Linked DNA regions of Tamandua tetradactyla. The protein of the gene in region 3 interacts with the protein of the main gene of each other region in a biochemical or structural test. Links are inferred from orthologs where the notes say so. Each region holds a gene or a part of one and is shown on either strand. Other genes may lie near its edges.

Region 1 (10,289 bases), on a different chromosome or scaffold from region 3:
CCTGTTCAGAAAAAATTAAACAGGAGGGGAAAATACATTCCACTCTTCTTTAAAGACTTCAGTGATCCTAATGAATACAAATTTCTCATTCTTTGGCACACATCCACAACCAAGGACCCTTTGCTCAGACTTCACTCATGACATATATTTTAATCTAACCTATCTTATAGTACTTGATTTACTTAACTTTGTTCTAAATCTAAAACTCCCCAAAAGAGGGATTCATTGAAAAAAAAAAAGAGGTATTTTATTCATTGTTGTTATCACTGAAGCATTAACGACATTGTTCTACTATTCACAAAAATACAATAAAAATCATCTGGGTCCTCGTCAGCAACTACTCTGTGTATAACTAATATTTGTAATTCTCACCTCCATTTTTATTAAGAAACGACTCACTCAAAGTTGTACTGCAGTCAGTGACAAAGTTAACTGACCTTACGCGTCCTAACATTACAGCAACTGTTTGACTTAATTTAGAACGGTTTTATTTTTGCAGAGACTACAAGATGATTTTTAAGGAAAAGAAAGGTACTATTTACATTCTTATACATTCCCTTACTTTTTTTTCCTTCAAGTTTCAGGACAGTAAACCCGGTAAACTGGATATTTATTAGTTCAGAGTAAGAACAAGCCAGGTGCCAGGCAAGCAATATCAGAAGCAAAGCAGGCCTGGAATAGATTATGGCAACTGGAGAGCTCAGAACCCACCTAAAAAGGGAGACTACTATTCAGCTCTAGTAATCTACTGTCATGTAGAAATACCCACCAGATATAGCCACACCCTGTGATCTTTCAAGAGATGCTAGAAATCCAGACTTCTTACATGTGAAATCACTCTATTTTTAAATGCTGGGCAACTAATTATTAAATATTCCAAATATGTAAGTACAAGTAATAGGTATCTGTGTATTTGTCATTATAACTACAGTGCTAAGCCCAAGAGCCACATGGTACTGTAGCCTCACTGTTAAAAATCTCTACATATGGCTGAAGGTGGACTGGGAGAACAATACTTCTTTACCACCACCTTACCCCTATGGAAAAAAGAAAGAGTGAAGCAGCTCCACAAAATTACAGGAAATGCCAGTGACAAACTCCTTTAATTTAACCTTTTCTCTCTAATGAAAATGAAATTAGCAGTATTAGATACAGAACCCTTCATAGCAGAAAAAAAAGATGAGATGAATTATTTCTCTTTTAAAAGTTTTTTTCTCAAAACTTGGTAAAAGGAAAATATTCAAATAAATGTAATAGTTAAAATTAAACTTTTCCAACCCTAAACTAATGAAAATACTCAGTAGTAAATATGAAACTAATGAGTCACAGTGCACAACAGAAAATCAAGGTACAAAATACTACTACTGTTAATACATTTGCACTGGTCTATCTACATACTGTCACTTGACTCTCTTGTGACCAACAATACAAAATCAGCTGGATACAAAGTTAAACTCTGTGACTAAGGAACCTTAGTCTAACAAACCATTTCTGGACTCAAATCTGTGATCTGAACCTCCTTAATACCTAGATGCTATCATTAACTAATGTGATTAGTCACTATTAATCAAATATTAATTTAGTCTAAAAATATTTCTTCAGTATTTTTTCAAAAGATTTGACATTTTTAACTAAGTTAAGACTTTTCTCCTCTTCAATTTAAAAATAGGAGCTTATAGAAAACACTTGAACGTCACCACTGAAATTGCTTAACCTATTCCTGGAAGCCTTTATTAAGCTAAAAAAAATGTTAATATAAGTAATCACGGTAAACTTATAGCACATAGTATAAGTTTTTGGAAATCAAAAAACATTCTCTAAGGGTGGTGGCAACAGTGGCTCAGTGGCAGAATTCTCGCCTGCCATGCCGGAGACCTGGGTTGGATTCCTGGCGCCTGCCCATGCAAAAAAAAATGGAGAAAATACCTTCTCTAAAACAGCTATTAATAAGGGAATCCCTTTAACAAAAGAATTAATAGGCAATATAATGATTAAATTATACTATTGTAATTTGCAGGGATTATTTACTGAACACTTACTATATGCCAAACACTGTGTTGAATACTTTCAGGTTTCTCATTAAATCTTCAAAATGACCTTACAGGGGAGGTACCACTATTATCCTCATTCTACAAATGAGGAAACTGACCTTTCCAAGATCACACAGCTACTAAGCGGCAGTCAGGATTCCAACCCAAATGTTGTCTAACTTCAGAATTTGCAAGCTTAACCACTATACTGTATTGCCTCCAGTGACTGAGTTGATATCTAAGATAAAGAAAAAAAGGAAATTTGTACTCCTCAGTGGCAAATTTTTAAAACATAGTAGAAATGGGATACTTTTTAGAACATGAAAAATTCTCATAAATATAGCCCTATTAACATTTTTACTCCGGAACACATATAAGGATAGAAATCTCACACAACAGACTTCTCACAAACATGTTCTATGTTTACTATTAAATACGTTTACGTTTACTGAAAATTTAGAACTATAATATCAAAAATACGCCTAATTCAATTTAGCTGTGAAACAGCATAAGACTAGATTCTGTAGATTCTTTCAGTATGAAAAACTGCACTTTATTGTTAACTACCATGCCAAGCACTTAGTGGACACTCAAATATTCAACTGACTGATTTTTACAACAAAAATTGGAAATTTGCAAGTACTGCTATAAAATTACAAATTTAATAGCCTCAGAAAAGTCTGTAATACATAGATAGGATAAATAAATTGGAATAAAATGACAGGACAAATGAACTTTGCATTAATATAAAGGGAATACAACATCCCCATACTATAGCTGGCATAACTTTACTTTTGTACCTTAAACATCAAAAGATGTAGCCTTAAGTCAAAATATGGATTATTATTACAGAATCTTTTCCTAATCAGTTTTTAAGTCCTTTCTAAATCCTTTAAAGAAGCTTATTCAAAACACTTTCAACTGTCCAGTGATTATCAACATCTGAACTAAGTCTTTTTTCTTCTGATACCAAATTTTTAAAATTCTAAATGTCAATTAAGACTAATGTCAGGGATCCATAAACAAGTTTTACCTATCACCACTTCCCATGTCAACATTTTCCTCTCATCAACATCCATTTTTATAAATACACACCTAAGTCCATTTAAGAAAAGAACAAGATGGGTAATGACTTTTTAAAAAGTCGTTTGTCCTATATACTCTGCAGTAGAATGTCAAACAATTTTCAAATACAATACTAAAATGACCACCAACAAAGGGTTAAAGGGGAAGCACTATTAATTCTGTCTTGCTTCAGCACTGCACTTATTCAGCTATTAAAGAATTACTAATATTAATAAATACCAATTCAATAGAACAAGTTACAGACATTTTTAGAGTGTGGACACTTAACCACACCTGTAATTCACAAAACTCCTTTCCTGCTTCTCTCTGACACAGGTTTTCATAAGTGGTTCAAAGACTTTATTTTTCCAATAGACAAAAATTAGGATTTGCAGTACAACAAAAACAAAACATTCTGACTCATGCATTTTTCAAATGATTTTAACCCAATACTTAAATACTTGTAATTCAAGTATTCTCACTAATCATCCAACTTCAGCAGAGAACACATACGCAGGCTAATACAGACAATGACTGCCTTGGTAGCTGCAATCTCAGCTGAATCCCAGTCCACCACCTGAATTTGGAAGGGGTAGAACCATATCCGGTTCTCACTGAATACACATTTTCCAAAGCTTCCCATCTTAAAAACTTTACATCTTCCCAGAGGAGCAATAAACACACGAAGACGCCAGGGAGCGTGCCTGTAGGGAAGATGAGTGATCAAATTAAATCCCCGCACATGGAACCTGAAGCTTCAAAACTTTTTTTCAAAACAAATAACAGCTGAAAGAACAAGACAGGTTTCCCTCTGCATGCCCCACTTCTTTCTTAGAGCCAGCTTTCCTGGTTCCTTGAGCAGCAGTTTTGACTTACTGGTTAGTTGGAGGAGCAGTCAGGGGGATGGCCACTTCTTCCTCCTCGTATTCTGGTCCATCCAGAGAATCACCTTCGTCCACTGTTCCCAGGCCCGCGCCCAGGGAGGGGAACGGAGGAGGGGGCGGCAGAGGGGGGAATCCTCCTCCTGGCCCGAGGGTCTCGGCAGGCAACGAAGGGATCCCTCTGGTGAGAGCCATGTCCCCACCAGGTCCGGCAGCAGCAGCAGCACCAGCCACGCCAGCAACAGCACCTCCCCCTGTCAGTCCGGCTCCCCCCAGGACTCCCGCCACGGAACCGACTCCTAGGAACCCTGATGCCAAAGCAGCTCCACCACCCAGAGTCCCGGCCACTCCGGCTTCGGCCAGCCCAGGGTAGGGCACGGCTGTTACCGGCAAGGCCGCGGGTATCTTCACCCGACACACTGCCGGATAGGCGCTGGAGCCCGCAGCCCCGCCGCCTCCTCCTGCCCCGGCGGTCACCGGACCGCCCTCCTCGTTCCCGGCCTCGGCCGCCATCATGTTGAAGCCCGCTCTACTCGGCCCTACCCTGCCCGCCCGGGAGCCCCGGGGGCCAGCAGGCCCGGGCTCCGAGTCACCCCACCCAGGCGCGTCCCCTCTTCAGCTCCCCAGGCGGAGGAAACAACAACAAAAGGAGGGAGCCCGCCGCCGCGCCCCCTCCTCGGGCCACAGCCCAGGCTCCGAGGCTGCCCGGGTTACGGGAAGCGAAGTGGGCAAAAAATCCAACGCCTGCACAAATGCCGCCCAAACCTTCACCTCACACACCCACACACGCACACACACACATGCACAGAAGCGAAAAACTTCCTGACTGCACTAAAGAGGAAGGGGAGCACAGGAAAGCGGCTGGGGCGGCCGCCGCTCCTTGAGCCGCCGCCGCCGCCGCCGCCACCGCCTCTTCACCACCCGAGTTCCGGCCACCCCCACCGCAGCCACCGCCGGTGCCGCTGCCCGGGCTGGGGCCACTGCAGCCGCTTCATCCTCCGCGGGGCTGGAGATGGGAGGGGTGTGGAGAGGCGGAGAGAGGGGGGCGGGGTGGTGGAGAAACCGGCGCAGCTGCTCGCCACCGCGAGCTCACAGTTATCTAAACCCGAACGAGAGAAAGGAAGGCGGGGCGGCGGGGGCGGGGCGGCGGGGGGGAGGAAGGGCGGGGTCGGAGGGAGGCGAGGCCAGTCTGTACGCACGCGCGAGCCCGGGGCTGGAGGAAGGGAAGGACGAGTGGAGAGGGGAGGGAAGGAAGCGGCGGGAGCGTGCGGCGCGCGCCCTGGCTCGTTGTCTTCCCCCGGTCCCGGCGCGGGGCAGCCTGGCGCTTTCGCCTGTCCTTGTCCCCCGGCGGCGGGTGTCCTGTCCTTGCTGCACCTCTTGCCGGACGGGACGGCGGCGCGAAGGCAGGCCGGTGCGGTCCCCGGGGACCGCGGGAGGCCAGGGGGAGGGTACCTGAGCACCTGCCGGTGAACGCCGTGGAAACCGGAGAGACGAGAGGGACGAGCTTGCGGTAGAGAGGAAGGAATGGGGAAGGACAAAGGAAGATGCGGAGGAGTCAGTTCCTTCCTTCTGGACCGGTAGAAAACAAGCGGCCTTAGCCAGCGGAGCCGGGGCTCAGCAGTGGACGGGCGGGTGGCTGCGGCGAAGGCCGAGGCAGGACTGTCCATAGTTTATTTTCGTTGAATGATGTAAATTAAAATATGACTATTACAAACTAAAAAAAAAAAAAAAAATTCTGTAATTCAGGAAAAAGCGAAAAAGATAAAGGGGACCAAACGGGGAAGGTGGAAAATTTTGGTAGAAATACCGGTAGTGAAGTCCGACTTCTACCAGTGTATGTGAAGGTTTTGTTTTCTTAACCGACCGTGTCACCCAGACACTGGGGTTTACCTGTGCTGCTGCAGGTCTGTTAGGGACTGAGGAGGGGTGGGACAGGAGAGGGGCCGCAGCCTCCGCTAATCAATGCGCTTGTGTCCGTGTTCCGCCTGCAGAAGACTGCAGGGCATGTCCTGCAGTGCATACATGAATGACTGGGATCCTTCCACAAGGCAAATGTCAAGTAGATCCCAGAGTGCAAGTTATATATAACTTTAAAAGTTAACAATAAACTTGCTTCATATATGTGGAGGTAGTTTGCTGTTTGGGATTCATGTATTTTTCTTGTCTTTTAAATTCCCCCCAGGAGGGCTACCACACTGAATATCATTGAATATTGGCCTTTGAAATCGATATTTCTCTGCTAAGGATGATCAAACCAATATAGAAGCCAGAGAAAAAGGGAAAAAGCTACTTAAATGACAAGGCATACTCAAGACTTTTCTTTGATTTTAGAATTTGTGTAAGCCTGTTTACCAAGTCATTGGTAAGCAAGCTCTTGATTATAATAGTCCTGAGTGCCATTATGCTTACTTTTTCTCCAGTGTACCAGCTGAGAGAGTGAGGAGGGACTAGACCCCAGAGCTGTAGTTATCAAGGGGTCGCTTCTGATCAATTATTTCCAAGGAACTTAGAAATGCAAATTCTAGGTCCCCACCCCAGGCCCTCTGAATCAGAAACTGTGGTTGATAGAGCCTTGGAGTCTGTGTTTTAAGGAATCCTCCAAGTGATTTTTAAACTTAAAAGTTTAAGAACTACTGCACTTGAGTATAGTATGCTAGTCATGAATGAGGTATGCAATACCTAAAAACGTTTTGAAAGAAAGAATACAGGAGGAAGCAGATTCAATGACGTTCATTAGAGGGTGGGTAAGAGAGTTGGGTATTGGGTTGCTAACTATTCTAAAAAAGGAGGTTAGGAACAAAAAAGACCAGAACGTAGTAGTTCCATAACGCTGAAGGAAATAATAAATGACTATGTCTGGTGGCCTTTCTGAGAATAGTCTTCCTTTTATTTAGACTTAGAGCCTCAAAGTTAGAAGAGATCAGGGAAATATATATTTCACCTAAGTCCTAATGTATGAATCCGCCTAAGTCCTAATGTATGAATCCGCAGCAAGTTTCCATGTAACCTTTTCTTGAAGAGCTACAGTGTCTTAGCATCCTTCTCCTCCAACACTTTCTCTTAATTAAAAGTGATCATCTCTAAGTGATCCTACACCATGTGTATTATGTCTGAGAGCCCAGGTCAGGCTCACTCCCCTAATTTGTAGAATTGCTTCTGCTTTTTGAAAATTCGTTAGCAATTAAAGCCTGTGTTTTATACAATCTAACACCAATTATATACTAGCTTAAACTGTTTTCTAAACAGTTAAAGCCAGTGTTAGGCAGCCCCAACACACTGCTTTGAAAAGATCTCCATTCACATAACAAATACTAGATTATTTGATCAGCTCACATCTTTGGAAATCAATTTCTCAACTACTAGCAAGGATGTTCTAAGTCTTTTTGTAAATAACCTAGTACCCATATCTTACCTAGTTTACGTTTAGCTTTATAGTTGGCACTGTCCTTTTCATCCCACGCATTTTTTGACGAGGTATTTTCCAAATATTTTATATATTCTTATTATTGGACAGATTTAGGCCTTGGTTTTACTATTGTTATATACTTCCTTAATATCAAATGAGTCTTCTACCTTTAATGACTTCTAATTTCTTTTGAAAGAGTGTGATATTCCTGCCTCCTTTATCTTTGTTACTTTTTTCCTTTTTCTCCTCACCTTGACCTTCTGCCTTTCTCTGATTTATATGCTTATGTTCTCTTTTTTCCTACTGATTTCTCCCCTAATTCCTACTTATCGCTCCCTTTCCTCTCAACCCCCTAAACTTTCTGATAGATATACTTTATGTGTTTCATGAGTCCAAAACTGCAGACATTTTTTTTAAATACTATGAAAAATCTATTAAAATATTTTTTATATTTTAATATTTTAATAGACATTGCAGGGATTCTGTAGGAATTGGGGTGCTAGGTGTGCTCTTATACAATGTCAGTAAACGAAAGGAAGTAAACAGTCTGTTAAGTAAGTGCACAGAGAGTATTAAACAGGAGGTACTGAAAACAATATTCAAAAGAATACGGGGAAAAATTCAAAATAGCTTTTTAAGTTTAATAAAATAATCTGTAATAGCTGCGATTTTGGAAAAGTTACTGTAGATACTGAAATATGGTTTTTGATGAAGAATAAGTAATCAAAAATTCTGGGCAAAAACTTGTGGGTGAAAAGACATTGAAAATTTAATTTTTTAGAAAATGAAGCTGGCTCATTCTTTATTTATTGGCAACTCAAATATGAACATGATATACTACAAAATATTTTGCAGTTTTTATACCCTAAGTATGAGAAAAGGTAATTCTGAGTTAGTGATATAACATTGTTTCATACAGCCTCGAGGGATTTAGAGCAAATACATAAGTAGATTTGACTGGAAGACTGAGCAAGAAATAATATTTCGTTCCATGCCCTAATGCATACTCAGATGTATAAATAGGCTTCCAATTTTATCTAAATAGTGTAAAAATGTTTCACTGATGCAATAATTTTGAAAAGAAGCTTTTACTCCTAATTTGTAATATTCCCATTGCATTTGTTGACCTTAAAGTTCTCAAAAGGAGGACTGTAGGATGATGGCAGAATATTAAGCTCCAGGAATCAGTCCATCCATGAGAAAAACTGTTAAACAGGCAGCAGCTGTCTGAATCAGCTATTCTGAAACTCAGCAGTCCAGTAAAGCACTGTACTGTATCCACCGAAGAGCAGGAGGAAGAGGCTGCTGAATTATACTCAGATACCTGAAAAATGTTCTCCATGGCAGTTACCAGCATCCATCCCCAACTCTCATAGCAGGCAACAGTGGGGTGCAGTCCCTGCATAACTTTCTGGTGCCAGAAAGGGACATAAAAATCTACTTCGCCAAAATCTAGGGTGTGCACAGGCCAATGGTTTATCACAACATTTTATTAACTACTTCGGATCTCTGGGGGCCCAGTTCTAAGGGTGACCGTTGTTCCAGTGTGCCCTGAACAAAGGCAGTGGAGGGAATTTTAAGGCAGTATACTTCCTCAAAGCTGTGGAGGACAGTTGAAGGTCTGCATCTGCAGGCCAAGTAAAGAGCACAGCTTTGGGGAGCCATGGGAGAAGCTCCTGGTGCCCTTCCCTGCCCCTCCCTCAACTCTCTAAATGGCAGTTTGGAGCTGGCAGGCATTCCCTTTGTATGTTCCTGAACTTCTGTCTGGGAAAGACTGACTTGGGAAACTCCTCTACAGCGTGCCCCTCCTCCCAGGATTTGCCCTTTAGGCAAAAGAAACTTGAAACAAGGATAGGAGTGTACGAAACAATTAAGATAGATGACCTGGGACAAGGGCTTAACTGCTTAAGGCTAAGAGTGGGACATCCAGGAGAGGGACATCTGTCTCCTGAGAAGTATAGGGAGCATTCGAAGTCCTATAAACATGGGATCTCCTAAGGCCACCAGCAAGCACAAGCCCAAGACAAGACACAGGGCCAGAATAGGCAGGGATGACCCTACACTTTGTATTTGCTTTTGGCAAACCTTCCTGATGGGAGGACTGACATTCAAGAAAATTTTTGTCATATCACCACCTGGTTACCAACTCACGGAATGGAAATCTCATGGAATAAATACAAAAGATAACATTTTAGAGTATTAAAATATGCAGTTTTCAACAAACGGTTACCAGAAAAATAAACAGGAATAATTGCACATCCAAAAGAAAAGAGCAAAAATCCAGAAAACATCAAAGAAGAGCACACTGTAGACATAATGGACAAAGATTTGGTCTTCAATATGTTCAGAGAGGTGAAGGAAAATACAGAGAAAGAAATAAATTATATCAGGAAAAGCAAATGATGAACAATATGAAAATCTCAATAAAGAGAGAAAAATCTACTGTTTCAACAGTAGTTTGGAGCTGGCAGAAGAAAGAGTCAGTGAACTCAAAAACAAGACAATTGAAATGAGTCAGACTGAGGAACAGAAAGAAAAAAACAATTATAAAAAGTGAAAATAGCCTAAGAGACCTCTGGGACACCATCCAGTGTACCAATATATGCATTATGGGAGTCCCAGAAGAAGAAGAAGAAAGAGAAAAGTGCAGAGGGATGTTCAAAGAAATAATGACAGAAAACTTCCCAAACTTAGCAAAAGACATGAATATGCATATCCAAAAAGCCAAGAGAACACCCAACAGGAGAAACTTTAAGAAAAGAGCATCCAGTACATACTGATCAAACTGGCAAATGGAAAGGACAATGAGAGAGTTCTGAAAGCTGGAAGAGAAAAGCAGCATGTTATGTACAATGGAATCCCAATTAGATTAAATACTGCTTTCTCATCTGAAACCATGGAAGCCAG
Region 2 (10,289 bases), on a different chromosome or scaffold from region 3:
CATCAGATACAGGGTTTTCACAATCACATAGTCACACTGTAAAAGCTGTACGTTTATACAGTCTTTTTTCATAATCAAAGCTACTCGAACACAGTTCAACAGTTCAGGTACTTCCCTCCAAGCCACGCCAACACACCATAAACTAAAAAGCGTTATGTATATAATGTGTAAGAATAACCTCCAGGATAATCTCTCAACTCTGTTTGAAATCTCTCAGCCACTGAAACTTTATTTTGTCTCATTTCTCTCTTCCCCCTTTTTGTCAAGAAGGCTTTCTCAATCCCTTGATGCTGGGTCCCGGCTTATCCCGGGGAGTCATGTCCTACATAGGGGGAAGCTATACACATCTTAATGCATTAAAATACTGTATATTATACATTCTTTCATTCAATAAGTATTCATTGAGATCATACTACAAATACCAAGAAAAAAGCACATGAACCGTCACTGATCAACAATGAAGATAACAATAGTAAAGATTAATTTTAAAAAATCTCCATTCACACTTGATTTCTGTGGTTACTTATCTTCCCCCCAAACAATCACCTCTGAACGATACCTGTGAAGTTGGGTAAAGCAGATTCTGAGGCCTCACTGCAGAGACAGCAAAGAGTTATATCCTCATCTCTGTCATAACCATTATGTGGAAGCAGGACTGTCCCAAGGATCATACCTCTTCCCAGAAGTAAAAAGTTCAAGTGTCCTATGTAATGAGGAAGTCTTAGAATTCCACCCTCTGACAAGCAATACCACATGCATGTGACAGTTACTCATGCATTTCAGCAGCCAGAAGAAACCAATCAAGGGGAAAGTATTGCATCTCCCAAAGTGGGTGGAGAATGAATGACCTAAAGGGAAATGTCTAGTAATAGCAAAAGATCGAGTCACAATAGAGTTATTTATTTATTTTTTACATGGGCAGGCTCCTGGAATTGAACCCGGGTCCTCTGGCATCACAGGCAAGCATTCCTGCCTGCTAAGCCACCGTGGCCAGCCCACAATAGAGTTATTTTAAGAACTATGGGAATATTCAAAATAAAGCAAAAAGCAAAACATGAGTAATAAATAGTTTAATAATAAAACAATCTGGGATTAGTTCATACAGTTGGGTATTCATTCCTAAGCAGATGATTAGGTGAGACTGCTGAGAAAAGTTTTCTTGGAGAAAAACCATTACTATAAAACAACGAATATACTTTTAAAAGAAAGGAAATGCCGAGCAACACTCACTTTTTATGTCAATTATATTAGCTCAAGAAACCACAAATCCAAAACCAAAGAAAGAGTTAAGATATGATTCACAACCACAGAAGCCCGGACATGATAGCCTTTGCTAAAATTTTGGCACTACAGCTTAATAAAGGTTAAAAACATGGCATGATAGTGTTAACTACTTTTCAGTATTAATAATTTAAAAAGTAAATGTCTGATCTTTGTTAATATATAGGAACAAAGTTAAATAAAGTCGAAGAACCTGAATATGAGAATACCTTATAAGAATTAAAATTTACAAATAGTAGATGTCATTAATGTTATGACCTAGAAATATAATGCCAAGAAGTGTTTGTGACTGTTTAGCTGAGAATATCCACTGATTCAGTAAATATTACACATCTACTATGTACCAGATTGATTCAATAAATATTTATTAAACATCTTACAGTACCAGGCATTGTTCTAGATCCTAGGCTAATCAAGATAACAGGGTAAATTTCAGAAAGTCAAGACTGAAATAGTACTCAATAAAACAGAAGCATAAAATTGTAATATAACTTGACTAGGGAAGAATGAATTTGATATAATTAGTTGATGGTTAACTTCTGGTGTCAACTTAACCAGCTGATGGAGCCCAATTGTCTGGTCAGGCAAGTACTAGCCTAATCGTTATTGCAAGAATATTCCATGTCTGGTTGATAAACCAGAAGGCTGGTTTATTTAATCATCAGTTAGTTGATTGCATTTGTGACTGATTACACCCACGATCAACTAACGGTGTGCCTCCCACAAATGAAACAACCCAAACAGTTGGATTTGATTCAATCAGTTGAAGACTTTTAAAGGAGAAAAGAGAATTTTCACTGCTTCTTCAAAGCCAGCCAGCCAACTTCTCCTATAGAGTTCGTCAAGACCTTCAATGGAGTTGCCAGTCTCACTGTCTGCCCCTTTTGGACTCTTGCATTTCTGTGGTGGCATGAGATATTTTATAAATCTTGTATTCACAGGTATCTTCTGTTGGTTCTGTTTCTCTAGAGACTCATAATACATTAGGCTTTTTTTTTTTCCAAAGCTAATACTTTCAACAAAATTAACTTTAAAAGACTGCTACCGGGCAGGCCACGGTGGCTCAGCAGGCAGAGTTCTTCGCCTGCCATGCCAGAGACCCAGGTTCAATTCCTGGTGCCTGCCCATTCCAAAAAAAAAAAAAAAAAAGACTAGGACTGTCATCCACCTGAGGAAAGCAAAAATTAAATGACTAAAGTAGTAAGTCAGAATTTCAAACAACATATTGAATTTCTCCTTCCCTGGATTACAAAAATGTAAAGGGAATGTTTCTATCAGCTTTATTTGTAATAACCAAAAAGTGGAAACGACCCAGATGTCCTTCAGCTGGTGAAATGTTCAACAAACTGCATACCTAAACCATGGAATTCTACTCAGCAACAAAAAGAGAATAAACTATCGATACAAGCAACAACCTGAATCAAACTTTAATGGAGTATACTGAGTGAAAATAGCCAATCTCCCCAAATTAAAAGCCATATGATTCCATCTATATAACATTCTTGAAATGATAAAATTATAGAAATAGAAACCAGACTAGTGATTGCCAGGGGTTAAAAAGCTGGTGGGTGGGGCAGAAGAAGAAGGGGGTCATGTCTAGGGCAACAGGAGGGATCATTGTGGTGATGGAAATGTTCTGTGTTTTGACTAACAATGTCAATAACTTGGTTGTGATACTGTACTGTAGTTTTATAAGAGTTGCGTTAAAATGTGGGGAAAGCAGAGTAAAGGGATTTCCCGCTAACACTTCTTGCAACAGCAAATAAATCAAAATAGTCTCAAAAGTTTAAAGAAATTACAATATCCAAAATATACAAAGAACCCTTAAAACTCAACAAGAAAATAAACAACCCAATTAAAAATGGGCAAAATGATCTAAACAGACATCTCACCAAAAAAGATTCACAGGTAGCAAATAAGCATATGAAAAGATACTTAACATCATATGTCATTGGAGAACTGCAAATTAAAATAACAATACCAAATACTGATATGGCTGTGAGGCAACAGGACCTCTGATTCACTGCTGGTGGGGATGCCAAATAGTACAGCCAATTCACAAGACAGTTTGACAGTTTCTTACAAAGCTAAATATAGTCTTACCATATAATAATACAGTGAGCCACCCTTAAAAATTGCCTCAAGTGAATTGAAAACTTATGTCCATATGAATCAAGCACATGTGATAAAGGGGGAAAATTCAACTTCTCCAAATGGAGAATTCTTGATATTCTCACAAGCAGTGGGGACAACCAAAGCAATAGGCTGAGCCCCCAATCTTGGAGTTTGTTCATATGAAACTTAACCCTGCAAAGGATAGGCTAAACCTACTTAAAATTAGGCCTAAGAGTCACCCCCGAAAGAAACTCTTCTGTTGCTCAGATGTGGCCTCTCTCTCTCAGCCAACATGACAAGCAAACTCACTGCCCTCCCCCTCTCTACATGAGACATGACTCGCAGGGGTGTGGACCTTTCTGGCAACGTGGGACAGAAATCCTAGAATGAGCTGGAACTCAGCACCAAGGGATTGAGAAAACCTTCTCGACCAACAGGGGGAACGGCAAAATGAGACAAAGCAAAGTGTCAATGGCTGAGAAATTGCAAACAGTCAAGAGGTTATCCTGCAGATTATTCTTACGCATTATACAGATATCACCTTTTTAGTTAAGGTGTAGTGGAGAAGCTGGAGTGAACTACCTGAAAATGTAGAGCTGTGCTCCAGTGACCATGTTTCTTGAAGATGATTGTATAATGACACAGATTTTGCAATGTGATTGTGTGATTGTGAAAACCTTGTGTCTGGTGTTCCTTTTATCTACCTCATCGACAGACGAGTAAAATGTATAGATTAAAAATAAATAATAGGGGGAACAAATGTTAAAATAAATTTAGTAGATTGAAATGCTAGTGATCAATGAAAGGGGGGGTTAAGGGGTAGGTACATATGAATTTTTCTGTTTTATTTTTCTAAATTGATGCAAATGTTCTAAAAAATGATCATGATGATGAATATACAACTATGTGATGAAAGAAAAGAATGTTCATATTGTATGTTGATTGGTTTTATTAATAAAAAATTTTTAAAAAGGTGAATGGATACATTGTGATACATCCATACAATGGGATACTATTAGCAATAAAAAAATGAGGGTGCACAGGTGGTTCAGTGATAGAATGCTCACCTTTCATGTGGGAGACCCAGGTTCGATTTCCAGACCATAAACCCAGGAAAAAAAAAAAAAAAAAAAAAGAAATGAGCTATCAAGTCACAAAAAAGACATAGGAATCTTAAACTTACATTGCTTCGTGAAAGAAGGCAGTCTGAAAAGGCTACATACTATTTGATTCCAATGTTATGACATTCTGGAAAAGGCAAAAATATAGAAAAAGTAAAAAGATCAGTGGCTGCCAGGGCTTTGGGGTGCGGAAGAAGGAGGAAGGGATGAATATGTAGAACACAGGCCACTTCTAGGGCAGTGAAACTATTCTTATTGATATTGTAAATTCTATACATAACATTACACATTTGTCAAAACCCATAGAACTGTACTACACAAAGAGTGAACCCTAACATAAACTATGGACTTTAGTTAATAGGGGTATCAACATTGGTTCAATTGCAACAAATGTACCATACTAATAGAAAATGTTAATGGAGAAATTGTGTGCAAGAGACAGGATTACATGGGAACTCTCTATACTAACTGCTCAATTTTCTATAAACCTAGAACTGTTATAAAAATAGTTTTATTAACTTCAAAGAAAGAAATTATAGACAAAAAACCTCCCTTAATCCCATAGTTCCCTCCAAATCTTTCCTGAACTGCAAACTCATATGCAATTGCCTCATCAACATCTCTTCTTTTCTATTCAATCAAAGTTTCATATATTCAAAACTTGAAGTACTGACGTCCTGTTCCCCAAAGTCTATTCCCCCTCAGTAAATGGCAATTCCATTCTTGCAGTTACTTGGCCAAAAACCTCGCACTCATCTTTCAGTCCTCTCTTACATTCATACCTACATTTAATCCATCAGCAAATCCTGAAGGATCTACCTTCAAAATTTATCTTGACTTCAACTACTGCATACCATTTCCACAGCTACTTTCACAGTCTAAGCCACTTTCGCCTACATTACTGCAATATACCCTTAATTGGTCTCCCTCTTTTGGCTCTGGCCTCCTTCAGTCTATTTTCAACATAGCGACTAGAGAGACTCTTAAATCCTAAATTATATTACTCTGCTCAAAACCCTCCATTGGTTTCCCATTTTGCTCAGAATAAAATTCAGATTTTACTATTTTCTACTAGGCCTTCCATTCAATCCCTTTCTGAAATCATCTCTGGCAACACTCTCTCCTGGCTAGTCACTGGAAACCTTGCTTCAGGGACATTACATTTATTTTTACCTTTGCCTGGAATGCTCTTCCTGCAGATTTCCACATAACTTAGCTCCTGTGTCATTTATCACTTTATTGCTTCTTTATTACATGTTCTGTGATAATGGGTGAAATTCCTTTAAGCATTATTCCTTTACAGTGAGCATAATGTTAAGCTCTCTCTGTTAGAGGAGTCTAGACGGACAATGGAGAAGGAAGGAGCTTTCCTACTGTTTCTGGCAGCTGCAGCATTGGTCAGCAGTGTGGATGAGGCTATCTAGCCTCAGGTTAAGCTGCCCTAGCCATGTACTCAGAAGACATGGTGGTTTCCTTGGCAACCTTGTCACTGGCCTCACTCAATGTGGACATCCCATGATCCAGGCTTCCTGTCTACATAAGGACCCAAATTCGCCTACTCCCATAAATTATTCTCTCATAACCCTCCTGATTCTGAATTCTGACATGAACATCCTGTAGTCCATGCCTTGTGTCTGTCCAGCTTCCCAACTTTTTCCTCCTTACCAGCATCTACTGGAGTTTGTTTTCAGCTTCCCTCCTGATACCACAGCCCTCCCCATGATGAACACCATGCATTCTGGGCCCCCCACCCATACTGGTATTTCCATGTCCACCGCACACTGTGTGCCTGGCAACCAGCTATGGCTCACCTGCACCTCAGAGGATTACTTTTTACCTGCCAAATGACTGTTTACCAGAATATCTGAACCAAGCAAACATTCAACTTCTCACCCATCAAGTGGGCTGCAATGACACCTTCTCCAATAAGGTCTGAAATCCCCAGGGAGGGATCCCTTTTTCAACTTTGTCTTAGCTTGGGTACTCTACCCCAGCCTTAGAGCAGCATCATATAGAGTTCTCTTATAGCTTTTGATTCTTCTTTTATCATGGCTTAGTAATTATTTTTAAATCACTGAGTTGTTTCTGACTCCTAATTAAACCCAGACTGATACAGTTCCTTTGTTCCTGCAGGGCTGACAGGCATATATAAATAGCAAATCTCCTCCCACTGTACTCTCTGTTCTTTTTTCTCTGCTTTGTTTTTCTCTACCTGATATATATTTATTTGCTTAATGTGTCTTCTCCCACTAGAATGCAAACTCCATGATGGCAAGGCCAGACAAATAGAAAGCATTCAAATACGTGGTGAATAATGAATAAAAAGCTCCAATTTAAATTTTTTTCCACCTTGGGTACTTAATGTAGACTCCCACAAATCTTCATACTTTTCACATAATTTTTTACCTACCTTTTGCTCCCCGGAGGAGAAAAGTTTTGTTTTGTTTTATTTTGGGGGGGGCAGGGGGGAGGAGGGTAGCAAAGAGCTGTACAGGCACTAAACAGGGCTTTGGAGCCAAGTGCACCAGTTGAATCATAAGCTCAAGGACAATGAGACTATATTTGGAGTTCCATCTAAAGTCTTTGGTGTAACCATTAGTAGAGTCAATTTTCAATCATCTGGTGACAGGGTAATTGGTTTATGGATTAATCAGAATGGAGGGGAAGTGCATCTGCAAAGAAATTTAAGTTATTATGAATTAACAAAAACATCTATTTATAAAAAAGATGACTTCCTTTGAATTACATAGTAACCAGTAGAGGCCACACAGCCTCTAATGGAATATGATAAAAGCCTTCTCCCTTGGTCATCAATCATTCATTCATCCAACAAACACATATTATATTATCTACAATATACCAAGTACTACAATAATACTGTCGTCCTCAGAGATAGCAGTTAGCCACACATCAGAAGCAAAGAGAAGAACATATCCAGGCAGGTTCAAATATCCTAAAGAGACATTTGTTGCAGGAGACAACTGACAAACAAAGGGAAAAGAGAAGTAAGTAAGCAAGCAGTAAGCACTAGGCTCAATCCAGGCCTTATTCTAATACTGGATAGAAGGACAGTTCAGCCAAGAAGCCTACAGTGTTAACAGAATATTTTAAAAGAGGGTAACGTTTGTATTGGCAAAGTCCCTTTAGGGATGGGACAAAGACTATGGAACTAATAAACTTTATCATCAGGGAATCCCCTGATACTGTGTCAAACTTCAGGGACACCCAAATCAATAGGCCAAGCCCTTGATCATGAGGCTTACTCTTGTGAAGGTCATGCAGGTAGCAGAGAAGCTTAGCCTACCTATAGGCATGACTAAGAGTTACTTCTGGAGGACCTCTTTTGTTGCTCAGATGTGGCCTCTCTCTCTCTAAGCCCAACTCTGCAAGTGAAATCATTGCCCTCCCCACTACAGTGGGACATGACATCCAGGGGCAAAAGTCTCCCTGGTGGCATGGAAGAGGACTCCCAGGGATGAATCCAGACCTGGCTCCATGGGATCAACAATTACATCCTGACCAAAAGGGGAAGAAGAAGTATAATTAATAAAGTATCAGTGGCAGAGAGAGTTCAAATAGTGTCGAGAGGTTACTTTGGAGGTTGCTCTTACGCAAGCTTCAGGTAGACCTTGCTACCTATCATAACCTGCCAACCCCCAACCAGGACCATTCCAGCCAATCCTAAAGAACATCTAGGGCAATATATAAGATTCCAAGGGTTCCAGGCACTAGGATAACTTTCCAGAAACCTACAACCTCCAGAAAGGTCCTTGATCCGGATAAGTCCTAAAACCTAGCCCAGCCTCTCTAGAACATCAGATAGTTACACCTCCTTACTCCATTTAGTGACAGACCATTCCAATATGAAAAATTTTAAATCGCATAGCCCAAACACCCCTAAAAAGAGGGATGGAAAGATCAAAGGTGATGGTGGAGTTATACAGAGAAGACAGGATTTAACAAATGAATATGAATATTGAATCATTAAATTGATATCTCTTTTAGTCTCCAATATTTTAGAGTAGCTAGAAGTAAAAACCTAAAATTGTAGAACTGTAACCCATGTTAAACTCTGAGATATGTTCTGCAGCTAACTGTCCTGTGCTTTGAAATTTATAGCTTTTTTATACATGTTATTATGCATTTAAAAAAGGAATAAAAGTCAATTTGTGATGATTAAAAAATATTTAAACCTTCTAACCTCCTATATTCTGTAGCAGCCAGAAGGAAAAAACTAAGAGGATCGTATGGTAGACCATGACAAACTCTGTGATCTGTCCTGTAACTACTTGGTGAAGAGCGCTTCGAAAACTATTGCTTTTTTATTTCTTTGCTTTGCAGATATGTTATACTATACAATAAAAAAAATTAAAGAAGAAAAAAGAGGGCGACTTTTTTCCCTGCAACAGATGATGTTCATTCATCTTAAACTCTTGCACTGATGTTATTTTTGTAGTCTGAGGTGACATCTATAAATCAGTGAATGTGTTCTTAAATATTAGGTAAATAATTTGCTCTAGTTTGCTAGCTGCCAGTTTTCTGGCTTTTAAACGGCTTTTAAAAAGGGGAATTTAATAAATTTACAGTTTAACAGTTTACACAGTTCTAAGGCTGTGAAATTGTCCAAATTAAAACAATTTTATAGAAATATCCAATTAAGGCATCCAGGGAAAGATACCTTGGTTCAAGAAGGCCAATGATGTTCAGTGTTTTTCACGCTCAGCGGGAAGGGCACATGGCGAACATCTGCTAGCTTTCTCTCCAGGCTTCTTGGGTTTTCATTCTTCATCTCCAAAGGTTGCTGGCTGGTGAACTCTGTGGTTCTCTTGTCCTTCTGTGAGGGATCTGCAGCACTCTCCCTGCTCTCAAAAAGGAACTCTCTCCAAAATGTCTCCTCTTCTTACAGGATTCCAGCAAACTAATCAAGACCCAAATAGAATGGGTAGAGATACATCTCCATCTAATTAAGTTTAATACCCACAATTGATTCACATCTCCATGGAAATAACCTAATCAAATTTCCAGCCTATAGTGCTGAATAATGATTAGACGAAACAGCTGCTCTCACAACACTGATTAGTATTAAAACATGGCTTTTCTAGGGTACATAAAATTATGTATTGGTTTGAAAGGATTTATCTAAGTAAATTCACATTAAAAACATTTTGTTTTTGTTTTAACATCTTTATCTGCACTTTTCTCACTTATCTTCTTACCAAGCTTACCCTACCTAGGAAACTGAAAGTTGCTATTTGTGGTGCTTACAGAAAAACTAATAAAATCTATCACAAAACGAAACTGAAAATAGCATCATCTTTGTTTTTTTTTTTGTAGATGCTAACCATGACAATTATTTATACTGTCAACAACAGATATCACTATTTTCAGCTTTCTTTTAAGCACAGATCTGATACAATTGAGTGGAAAAATGTAGATTCTACATTTTCTACTTCATGGAATAAATCCTCTGGGTGAATCACCTTATATTTCAGAATGAGAGGCATTAGTTTAAATAAATTTATTTCAATTAGAATTTTTAGCCCCCTTACTTCATAGCTACATTCTAAAATCGGTTTCAATTTAATCTGGAAATCCAACTGCCAGTTTTACAAGGCATAAGTATTAGATAGTGTTCTAGTTTGCTAACTGCCGGAATGCAATACACCAGAGACAGATTGGCTTTTAATAAAAGGGGATTTATTTCGTTAGTTCTTCAGAGGAAAGGCAGCTAACTTTCAGCTGAGGTTCTTTCTTACGTGGGAAGGCACAGGA
Region 3 (10,289 bases):
CAATCCTCAGTCAAGGGATGGCAGGATGAACTGCCATCACTGGCCCACCCGCCCCCGAGCCTGGTGTCCCTGGGACCAGAAGAATCCCCGAAGCCTAGGGATCCTAGAGGGGGTAAACCACCCCCGGGGTGCACGGTGCGCGCAGGGAGGCAGCTGGCATCCTGCCTGCCAGAAGGGGGGTGATGAGCCCATGCCCAGTTGAACCCGTTTTTCTGCTCTGGTGAGATGAATCACCTGGCATGTCTTGCCCAGGAGGGTGTGCAGGAGGGGTTTAAGGGAGGTGGAGGGCACCCTCAGATAGACAGGCCCACAGGTGCCTGAGCTTCCTGGAATTCCCATCAGTCACTGCTCACCTCCCGTGGACTCTGTGTCTATTTGAGGGGACAGCACAGTGGCTGGCTTTGAGGTCTGACACCAGGGCCCTTACTTTCCCAGCAACTTGAGTCCAATGACATCCTAATGTGATGGCTCTCTCCCTTCAGAGAAAGGCTGGTGGGACAAGGCCCCAGGTCTCTGCCAGGCCTGGTGGCCATAAGCTGGTAATCTTCCCCATAACATCCAGAGGGGTTTCTATTTCCACCCCTCTGGGCAGAGAGGGAAGGAAGCAAAAAAGAAGGAAGGGGAGGGCCCAGAAATAGAACTCAAGGATTCATCTCCCAGGCTGAAGAGAGACTGTCAGACCTCCCTTCTCCATGCCTCACCCCCTCTCCATGGCATCCCCCTCCTTCCTGAGCCCCTCCCCCCAAAACTCCCAAAAGAAACAGGAGCCTGGGATGGCAGGCCAGGCCCAAAATAACGTCCTGCTGCCAGGACCTTCCCCGGCCTCGGCAGTTTCAGCTGCTTTACAGGCACAGCTGTCTCGAGGCCCAGACCCCAGGCCCTGGCCCGAGCTTGGGGGACAGGGACCAGCAGGTCTGGGGCAGGGACTGTCTCCACCCCCTGTGGCCCTCTGCCACCTCCAAGGGACACCAGCTGTAGCAACCAGGCAATAGGAAAACAACAACAATGGGAACTAGGAGCAGCTGCATTAACTGGGCACCTACTGTGTACCCAGCAGGCAACCTGGGTGGATCCCATAACAACCTCCAAGGGCTGGGAATTCCATCTCTATTTTGCAAAGAAGGAAACTGAGGGTGACAGGAGTTAGATTCTCCCAAAGACACAAAGCTTGAACTTGGGTCTGTCTGACTTTAGATCCCACATTCCTTCCATCAGGCCTAACTGCACATGCACAAATACACCCCACATGCCACACAAACATAAATACACACTCACTCGCCCAGTGCCACGGATAAACATTACAGACTCTGAGCAGGGCATGGAGGCTGGGCTAGGCATGGCTGGGCAGGAGGATCAGAAAAGGTGAGAGCCCGGCCCCACTGGAGTTTGTTTACCTGATTTATGGTCGATTCAAGTCTGATTAAGATTCTTTTGCAGAAAAGGTGGTAAAATTGTACCTTGAGACCTACTCTCAGGGAGCTGTAAGCTTGCTGGCTAACACCTCCACCTGGCATGAAGGTAAGAAGGCCTTTCCAACCTCCCCATCTTCCTCTTACCCCCCACCCCGCTCCACACTAATTTCCCCATCACCAGTCCTCACCACAGATCCCATACTACCTGCCACTGCCCCCTCTCCCATTTATTTTCTTGAGTGCTAGAGGTCCTAATTTCACACAGTCACATTCTTTGTCTCCAGGACACCTGCCCCCCAGAAGCCCCAACCTCCAACCCTCCATGGCAAAGACGTGTGAGGCAGGACCAGGCCAGAGGCAGGACAGGGCACACAGAGAGCTGGATAAGTGGCTGCTGAATGAATGAGCAGTCAACGGTGTTCAAGTAAGACGGGACCAGTGGAGGTCATGGCATCCACCCCTCATGTCCCTTCTGCTGACCTTTGGTGGTCCCAGCCCCAGGGGTCCTCAGGCAGGTCCTCTCCTCCCCACCAGCTTTCAGCCCCAGCTGCTTCTCTTGCTCACCAGCATGGAAGCCAGCACTTCCTTTGGTTTCTATGAACATCACCAGGTAAACTTTTACATGCACCCTCTCACCCCCACCCAAGACTCATAAGCCCCGAGGCCAGAGCTTGCTGTAGATACTGTAGCCACATATGCTGGATATATAGGGCCTAATATCAAGCTCTTTGGAGTGGAACCCTAGCTGGGCCACTCAACAGTGACTTTGGGCAGGTCCCTAGACCTCAGGAGCCTGGGATTCCTCATCTCAGCCCTCGGGGCAGGGGCTAAATCAGATGCATCTTCCTGCTCTGTGGTGCCTGCTACCCTATAGATATTCAAAAGATGAATATTCACTGACCTGAACTTGGCAGTGAGGAAGGTTATAAAAACAACTCTTGGTCTCCTCAGAGAAGTTAAATGAGAAAATGAACAGAAAAAGCAGTCTATAAACACAACAAGGCTTTGTCAACACAAACCTTAGCTCTAATAATTCTCACACTCCCCCAGGAACCCACACCCCTCACCCTGCCTCGGCCCTCTTCCCAGGGGTGGGGAGGACAGGTGGCCAGCAAGAGATGGAACTATCATTCCAGAGTGACTTCGACTTCCCACGGGCTGAAGGTGGGAAGGGGGATCTTTTTCCAGATCATTCCACCACCCCCCACCCCCAAGTCAGACAGTCAGACACAACCACTCTGGGCCCTACCCAGCCACTCAGCCCAGCTCCGCACTGGTCCCTCATACTTCCGCCCCAGCTGTCTCCCTCCGCCCACAGTCCTGCATGACCCAATGGTCTCGGCCCTCAGTCCCCTGCCATGATGGGAGGGCTCAAAATCAAAAGGAAGGCAAGCATGGGCTGGCCTGGGAGGGAGAGGACCCCGCAGCCGGGAAGGGAGCTCAGGGCCCCAGCTCAGGATGGGGTGGAGGAAGACAGCCCCACTTTCTATAGCCTAGATAAACCGATGGGAGGTCATCCACCTGAATGGGCTTTGCTCAACCCATTCCCGGGGAATGGAATAAGTCTCTGATCTACTGCTGAGACCTCCTCTCTGGAGCCAAACATGCCCTGGACGGTACTGATTAGCTGGCTTGAATAAACCGCTTCATTTCCCTGAACTTCAGTTTTCCAATCTGTGCACATACTTCGCAGGACCTTTGCAGAGGTGAAATGAAACTGTCTGTGGGTAAGAAGGTGACACGTAGGAAACACTCAGGACATTTTTTAAAGTTAAGGCAGAAGCATGGGTAATCCCAAACCAAGAGAAAATAAAAAGTGCTTCCTATTTGACATTGGAATGGGATAGATGTTTTCTTTTGACATTTGATCCTATCTTTCTATTGTTTTCTCTTGAATATTAAAATGAGGTCACTTTCCCTAAGTATAGTAAAAAGAAGGAAGGAGGCTGCTGGGAGAACGATTCTGGAAATAATAACATATGAGCTGTGCAAGATAAAAAGGATGTGTTTGCTGAAATTTTATAAAACCTTGCAGAAAGGATCTCAGCAAAATCCTGACCCTCTGAGCCTTCCCCAAGTCTCCCCTCCACCCCATGTTCCTGCCCCTTCCTTCAGCCATGGACAATAATGGGGGTGCTGGAGGCAGCTGGGTGGTGGGCTGCCATTTTAGCCAATCCCTATACAACGCACCCAGAGTCTCTCTCTGCACCCCACAGTGCAAGCTGAGGGGTGAGGGAGACGCGAGGAGACCCCAGGAGACAGCTCCTCAGATCGCTCTGCAGCAACCCCGCCGCTCCCCACCTGCTCAACTCCCAGGCCAAGGCAAGGAGGATAGCAACTCGGCCCGATCGCCAAGCCTGGCCTCACCCTTCTCCTCAGAAGGTCAGGGGTGAAGACGTCCGCCTGGGTTCAGGGAGAAAGAGGACGGGCTCACCGGGAAAGAGGCGCCTCCTTCCTCAGAGACAAGGCAGGAGGCCACCTCCCGCTGTTTACAACCGATCTAGCCCAGCACCTTGAGGGAATTCCTTGAGAGGGCAGAGTTCAGCCCAGTCCCCAAGGGGGCAGGGAGACTGCTGTTTGGCAACACAGAGCAGAGACATACAAACACTCAGTCCACACAACTCAGGAACACCCTGGCAAAAGCGGGCAGCTTCGGACACCCACAGGAACTCTCCAGACAACACAGCAATGCCCAGACAGAGGGGCCCTCAGGCAACACGCGGCCCACACCAGACTCCCTGACCCGGGGAGACCACCCACTACTGTCGGAACACTCTCATTTTGTCTTCCCTCCAGCCCGGTGATGCGGGTAGCAGCTCCCACCATTCAAGGGGGATTGATTTCCCCTTTGATTGAATATAGTGATTTTGAGAATGAGGCTGGGGGTCAGGCTGGCTGGGGTCAGGGGTGGGCCCCACCACTTCCCGGCTGTTACTGAGCCTCCTTACGGTCCAGGTCTTCACCAGGACAATGGAAACAGGACTTCTCCCACTGGGTGGCTGAGGGTGAAAGGAGGGAATGCGCACAGGACGCCATACCAGGACCTGACATAGGGTGTACCACCGGGACACGTCTGCGTTTCTCAGCATCACCTACAGGTGGGCAGATACTCCTCGCAGAACACACCTCGCCCCCCACATCACCCTTCCCCACACAGGGCATGAAAGAAAAGGCTGCCAGACAGCCCAGCCTCCCCCACAAGAGCCCCGGAATCCCTCCCTCGGAACTCTCCCACTTCAGGTCCCAGACCCACCACCGCCAACACACACACGCTCCCAAAGTCACAAAACACCCAGGCCCCCAGTCAGTTGGCCCTAAAGAAACTTGTTCAAAACGACCCGCCTCTCCCTCCCCCTACTCCAGACCCCAGCATAAGGCAACTCTGCAGCCTCCTGCCCCCCCTCCTCCCCCTGGGCTGGACAGGTTGCTCTCCCCGCCTCCCCCCTCTACACCCGGACCCTGCTTGGAGCTGGAGTCACCAAATTCTAGCTGCTGGAGGGGAGGAGGGGAGGAGGGGGGAAGGGCTGGGCAGGGACAGGGCGGAGGGGACCCCCAAAGGAATCCAGCCCAGACCAGTCGGGAGGCGGAGGCTGCCAACTGGAAAAACTGCGAAGGCTTCAAGGGGTTCAAGAAGGGGAACACACACACACACACACACACACACACACACCACGCACACCACGCAGTATACCCTTGGGGGAGAAGCTTTCTGAACAATTCCAAAGGACTTTGCTGACAAGTTCGCAGAGCAGTTTGGAGTCTGGGAAGGGCCAGTCGGTCCCTCGACTACGGCTGCGTGGGTGCGATCGCCCCCCTGCCCCAACTACTTCGCCCCCTCCCTCTGTCCCAAGGCCCGGCCACCCCGAGCGCCCCGAGTGCCCACTACTCCAGGTCGGGACAGCTCGGGTGTCCCCTGCCCCCGCGCGTCCGGGGAGCTCTCAGGGGGGACGCAGGCTGCAGGGGCTTCTGTCGCTGCTCCATCCCCTCCCCACGCCAGACCCACCTTGGGTGCCCGCGGCTCTGGGGGGCAGCAGGGCGAGGAGGAGCCCCCAGCGGCACCAGGCCGCCAGCTCCATGGTGCTCACAGCGGCTCCGGCCCCATGGCTCCGGCTGGACCAGGCTGGGGGGCGCCGGGCAGGCGAGAGAAGGGGGCCGGGCGCTCCGCGCGGAACCCGGCAGCCGGAGGAGGGGCGTGCGGAGGCCTCGGGGGGCTTCTTCTCGTCTCTCTGGCCACGGTCGAGGGAAATCTCAGCTCCACAACTTCATTCTTGCACTTCCTCAAGGCAGCCCGTCCTCCTCCACCTCCTCCTCCTCCAGTGATTGGGAGCGAGCGCGCTCGCAGCTCGCCCCCCCCCCCCCCCAACTGCATTCCAGCAAGTCTCTGGGAGTGGCAACTCCCAGCTTCACTTTCTCCCTCTCTCCGCGCAGGCCTGCCGGGGGCCCCTCCCAGCGCCCGGACGCCTGGGTTTCCTACAGCCGATCCCAACCATTTCCACGAAGAACCCCTAAAAGCAGAGGAGAGGGGCTCGTCCGCCTCTCCCCGGATTCTGGGGCCAATTCTTTAAGGCCCGGCTGCCATCCCTTCCCTCTCTTCTAAGTTGCAGGTTTATCTTAAACATTCCTGGCGTGTTTGCATCCTACTCCATCACATGCCTATTTGTCCTAATATCAAATAATGGTTTTCCCACCATATCCTCAGGTGAAATTGGTACTTAAGGAAGGGGATGCCTTGTGTTTAACTTCTGGCTTCCAGGACTGCCTGGCATAGCCTCTGGACTCTTTTAGCTATCTTCCCTAGTCTAAAAAGCTGGTTGTAAGGGAATCTACAGATTTGAGGAGAAGAGTTCAAATTAGAGGGGACTTCAGCCGCATCCTTCAAAGGATATACCTCTTGTTTCTTTATGGGGCTCCCAGTCCCCAATTCATTCAAGGTTTCTGCTCTGTCCCCTGCCTTTTGTTACCCTGTTCCATTGCAGCTCCCCACCCTGCATTCCACCTGGACCCCTGACCCTGTTCTTAAGACCCCGAGTGATGGGGGAGGAGAGGGGGTTGAAAGGGAAGGAGGCATGTTTTTGTTGGAAATTCCCACAAAGTAGTGCGTGGGACACACGTATAATAACAAACTATTCGTTGTTTATCTGAAATTCAAATTTAACTGGGCTTCCTTATTTTATTTGCTAAATCTGGCAAGTCTTCTTGGAATACCGTAGCCAGGAGCAACATCTGTGCTGACCAAGAGGGGGATCAGGACACCTGCTGGGGACTGGAGAATGAAGGACACTAGAATTTCTTAGTGCTTACTTGTGCCGAACACCTGTGGGAGGCTGAGAGCAGCAGGGGCTCTGGGATCAGAATGACCTGGGTTCAAATCTCTGGACTCTACCACCTGTTTGTTAGCTTTATGACTTTGGGCAAGTGACCGAGTCTTCTGAGTTTGCTCATCTGTAAAATAGAGTCTGTAATGGCATCAGGCCTACTGTGCTAGGGGGTAAATGAAATAACGCTCCTGAAGCACTTAGCACAGGACTCGGCACATAGTAGCTGCTCAATAAATCGACTGGATTTCCTTCTACTGGGGCAGAACCGGGTTTTGTGGGGCCTGAAGCTTATATGATGTGGGAGACGCTCTTTAAGAAAAGAAGTACAAAGTTATGAATACAAATTTAAGTACAATGACGGTAGCACAACATTGTGAATGTAATTAACACCACTAAATTATATATTTGAATGTGGGCAAAGGGGGAAATTTTAGGTTGTATATATGGTACTAGAACAAAAATTTTAAAAAAACCTAGGACTGTACAACACAAACAGTGAACGCTAATGGACCATAGAGTATAGTTAATAGTGTAATTATGAGAATATTGTGTCATCAATTTAACAAAGATACCACAGTTATACAAATTATTAGTAATAGGGAAAGTTGTATGTGTGAGGAAAGGTGTATATTTTCTGCATGATTTTTCTGTAAACCTATAATTTATTTTTAAAAATTAATTTTTAAAAAAAGAAAATAATTAAGTACAAAATTATGCACATATATGCAGATAAGGGGCCTGAAACTGTAACCTTTCTTAACCCTATGGTAAATCCGCCCCCGCCCCAGCTCTAACCAGTACTGTTCAAACCGCAGGTCAGATTCATCATTAGAGGGCCCCGAAACCAATTTAAATGATTAAGACTAGACTTTTGTTTGTTTGTTTGTTTTAAGAAATAGAATGTAATAGAAAAGATCGGCGCACATCCCGTGGAGTAAGAACATAGTAAGGGTAAGTGTGGTTTTGTATGTAGTTTCCAGTTCGTGATGTAAAATGAATTTATTCCTTGGATTATAATCACAAATGTTTGGAAACACCATTGTTCCTGGGGACACAATAGCCCGCCAGGACGGGCATCAAGATTCCTGTTTTCTCTAGGTGTTAGAATTAGAATTAGAGTTAAGTAATTTGCCCAGGGCTGTTTTAGGGTTAACTAGGAAAAAGTTGAACATCCAGCAAAACCAGCCCCTCTTCCCTAAGGAAGAGGGTATAGGATTTAGTTAACTTGCCTCAAACCCACAGCATCTCAGCCCCTCAGGGAGAAAAGGTGTTGACCTGGTTCCAAGAGTTACTTGGTGGTGAAATATTCGAGGGAGGGCTGGTACGTGGGTGATCGCACGTGCAGCTGGTGGGAGACCATCAGGATATTACCATAGGGTCAGGGTTTGAGGTGTCCCTTTCCCCTGGAACATGCTTTTCCCCAGCCCTTGTGTTAGGAAAAGCTTGTGCAGCCAGGAAAGCTGCTGTTGTACCATCCTTTATTGGATCCTTCTCTGTGCCATCCTCTGTCCTACATCCACCTTCCTTCTCACACTGGCTCCTCGAGGCACCAGGGGTGGCTGTTATCATTCCCCATTTTACAGGGAAGGAACCCGGAGATCCTGAGAGGTAAAGGAACTTGTCTAAGACCACACAGCAGAGGCAGAACCTGAGGCTTCTGAAAGCTTTGGCTTCATCCATTAGTTTCGAGAGCTCTGAATCAAGGGGTACCATGAACCCCCCTGGGGTGGGGGAGCCAGAGGAGATTTCTCAGGGTAAATCCCTCCTTCTACAAAGAGTCCCTCCCTCTACCCCTGCCCTGCCTCAGCAAGCCCCCCTCTCTGCATTGGAGATCTTAAGAACAAACCCCTGGCTGGCATACAAGGCTGCCCAGAGGGGCGGAGCCAACCAGAGACCGGGCAGAGAGGGGGTGGGGGGGAGGAGCTGGGGTCAGAACTCACGCTGTGGGGAGGAGGCTCGAGAGGGGCCGAATCTACTAGAGAGAATGAGCCCATTCAGAGCCAGAAAGGAAGGGGAAAAAACCTTGTCTGGTGTTTGACAAGAGGAGAGGAAGGGGGGCAGGGGTGGGCGCTGCTGATTTGATTCTCTCCTCTGCTGCCCCTCCCAGCGGGGCCTGGCAGGAGAGCCATGGAAAGAGGATGCCTGAAGGACAAAGACAGTGGGGGAAACATCAGGGAGCGGGATAGGGCCGGTTGTTGGAGGAGTTTGAGAGGGGCCTAGAGTGAGGGAGGCTGGGTACCAAGGAAGGGCCTGACTGCAGGTCAGAGGGTAACAAGCCAAGGGCCCGAGGGGCAGATGCATGAGATTTGCCTGAGAAGATCTTTGGACAACAGTTACTGGGCCTGTGGGCTGTGGAAGTGGCCACCAGCACTGAAGAGGCCCAACGCGAGACCCTGACTTATAGAGGTGACCTCTGAGGGTCTGAAACCAACAACCTGTGAAATGCCAATCAATCATTGACCAGCCACTGAAACTTGGGGGCATGTGAGGCTGTGTGTGTGTGTATGTGTTTGTGTGTGTACGCCTGTGTGTGTCTGTGTACACCCTGGAGTCTCCTCCCCACTGCCTACCTCACTAGCCAGCCAAGGGTCAGAGGATTGAAAACAAACAGAAAAGGGGAGGGGAAAGTCCACAGTCCGAGGTCCAGGCCTCAAGCCAGAGCCTACCAGGCAGGGCCTCCAGTCTGGGGCACGGGTTGTAGAGGAAGTGTTGGTATGAATTCAATGGAAGGAATCCCTGAGAAAAGCAGGCACAAGGCCTTCCTGGGGCCACAGGAAAGTAACTTGGAAGCTTCTGATAAGAAGACGGATCAATTCACTTGTAGCCTAACCACACGGGAGACTGCTCCCCAGGCCCAGGGTTAGCGAGTGGGTAGAGGCCAAGCTCACCAGAGAAACACCAGCCTTGTTCTTGCTGATGATGGCCCTTAGCTCTTCTCACCTGTCTCGGGAATGCAGGCTCAGGAGGCGAAGAGATTGCCCTTCTCTCTCCCTTTCTCTCCCTGGGCTGCTTTGCAGAAACAAAATGACTCTTCTGTCCTCCACCTCACCTGGTTTAATGCATGGCATGAAGGCAGAGTGCCTTCCACCCCAGCCTCTGCACACAGGGCTGTCCTGGGTGCGTTTCTGTGCCCTCATTTTTCATGAGTGGGTCTCTCCTTGGATGGTAGCTTTGCTGTGTGGCCTTGGATGATTCTTCACTTTACCGTCTGAAATAGGAGAAAGTTGGCTTGGATAGTTCCTGGTCGGTCACAGTGTTTTAGGTTTTGGTGTGGGAGCAGTGACCTCTCCAATCCCAACTCTTGAAAGCCCCACTGGGCCCTCCCTCTCCTGGATTCCTTGTCTCACAAGCACTGGGCCAACCCACTCATCCTGAAGCACACCCCCCTCGCTGCTGGAGGACAGACCACTAAGGGTGAATGAATATGTCCGTGCCTCTGACTTTTGATTTTGGGAGGAGGGGACTAGGAAGCTACCAGAAGCATAAAACTATGGCAATCATGAGATCCTGGTTTGGGGGGACAGTTAGAGTTTCAGATGATCAGTTCACTGAACTTACA

The links. The genes of interacting proteins can lie anywhere in the genome.
Region 1: the proteins of ERBB2 (region 3) and RASA1 form a complex in vitro, tested with the Homo sapiens proteins (2 studies listed by BioGRID and IntAct, with this or other methods). The link is inferred for Tamandua tetradactyla from reciprocal best matches to the Homo sapiens genes ERBB2 and RASA1.
Region 2: the proteins of ERBB2 (region 3) and ABL2 form a complex in vitro, tested with the Homo sapiens proteins (3 studies listed by BioGRID and IntAct, with this or other methods). The link is inferred for Tamandua tetradactyla from reciprocal best matches to the Homo sapiens genes ERBB2 and ABL2.

What each region holds. Positions count from the first base shown.
Region 1 is NC_135347.1:44,037,137-44,047,425, forward strand, and holds the start of RASA1 (ras GTPase-activating protein 1), read right to left. Parts: upstream 4,581-10,289; 5' UTR 4,493-4,580; coding exon 3,972-4,492; intron 1-3,971. UniProt on the Homo sapiens protein: Inhibitory regulator of the Ras-cyclic AMP pathway. Stimulates the GTPase of normal but not oncogenic Ras p21; this stimulation may be further increased in the presence of NCK1.
Region 2 is NC_135330.1:33,423,345-33,433,633, forward strand, and holds the start of ABL2 (tyrosine-protein kinase ABL2), read right to left. Parts: upstream 4,476-10,289; 5' UTR 756-4,475; coding exon 560-755; intron 1-559. UniProt on the Homo sapiens protein: Non-receptor tyrosine-protein kinase that plays an ABL1-overlapping role in key processes linked to cell growth and survival such as cytoskeleton remodeling in response to extracellular stimuli, cell motility and adhesion and receptor endocytosis.
Region 3 is NC_135332.1:27,583,407-27,593,695, forward strand, and holds the start of ERBB2 (receptor tyrosine-protein kinase erbB-2), read right to left. Parts: upstream 5,765-10,289; 5' UTR 5,489-5,764; coding exon 5,416-5,488; intron 1-5,415. UniProt on the Homo sapiens protein: Protein tyrosine kinase that is part of several cell surface receptor complexes, but that apparently needs a coreceptor for ligand binding. Essential component of a neuregulin-receptor complex, although neuregulins do not interact with it alone.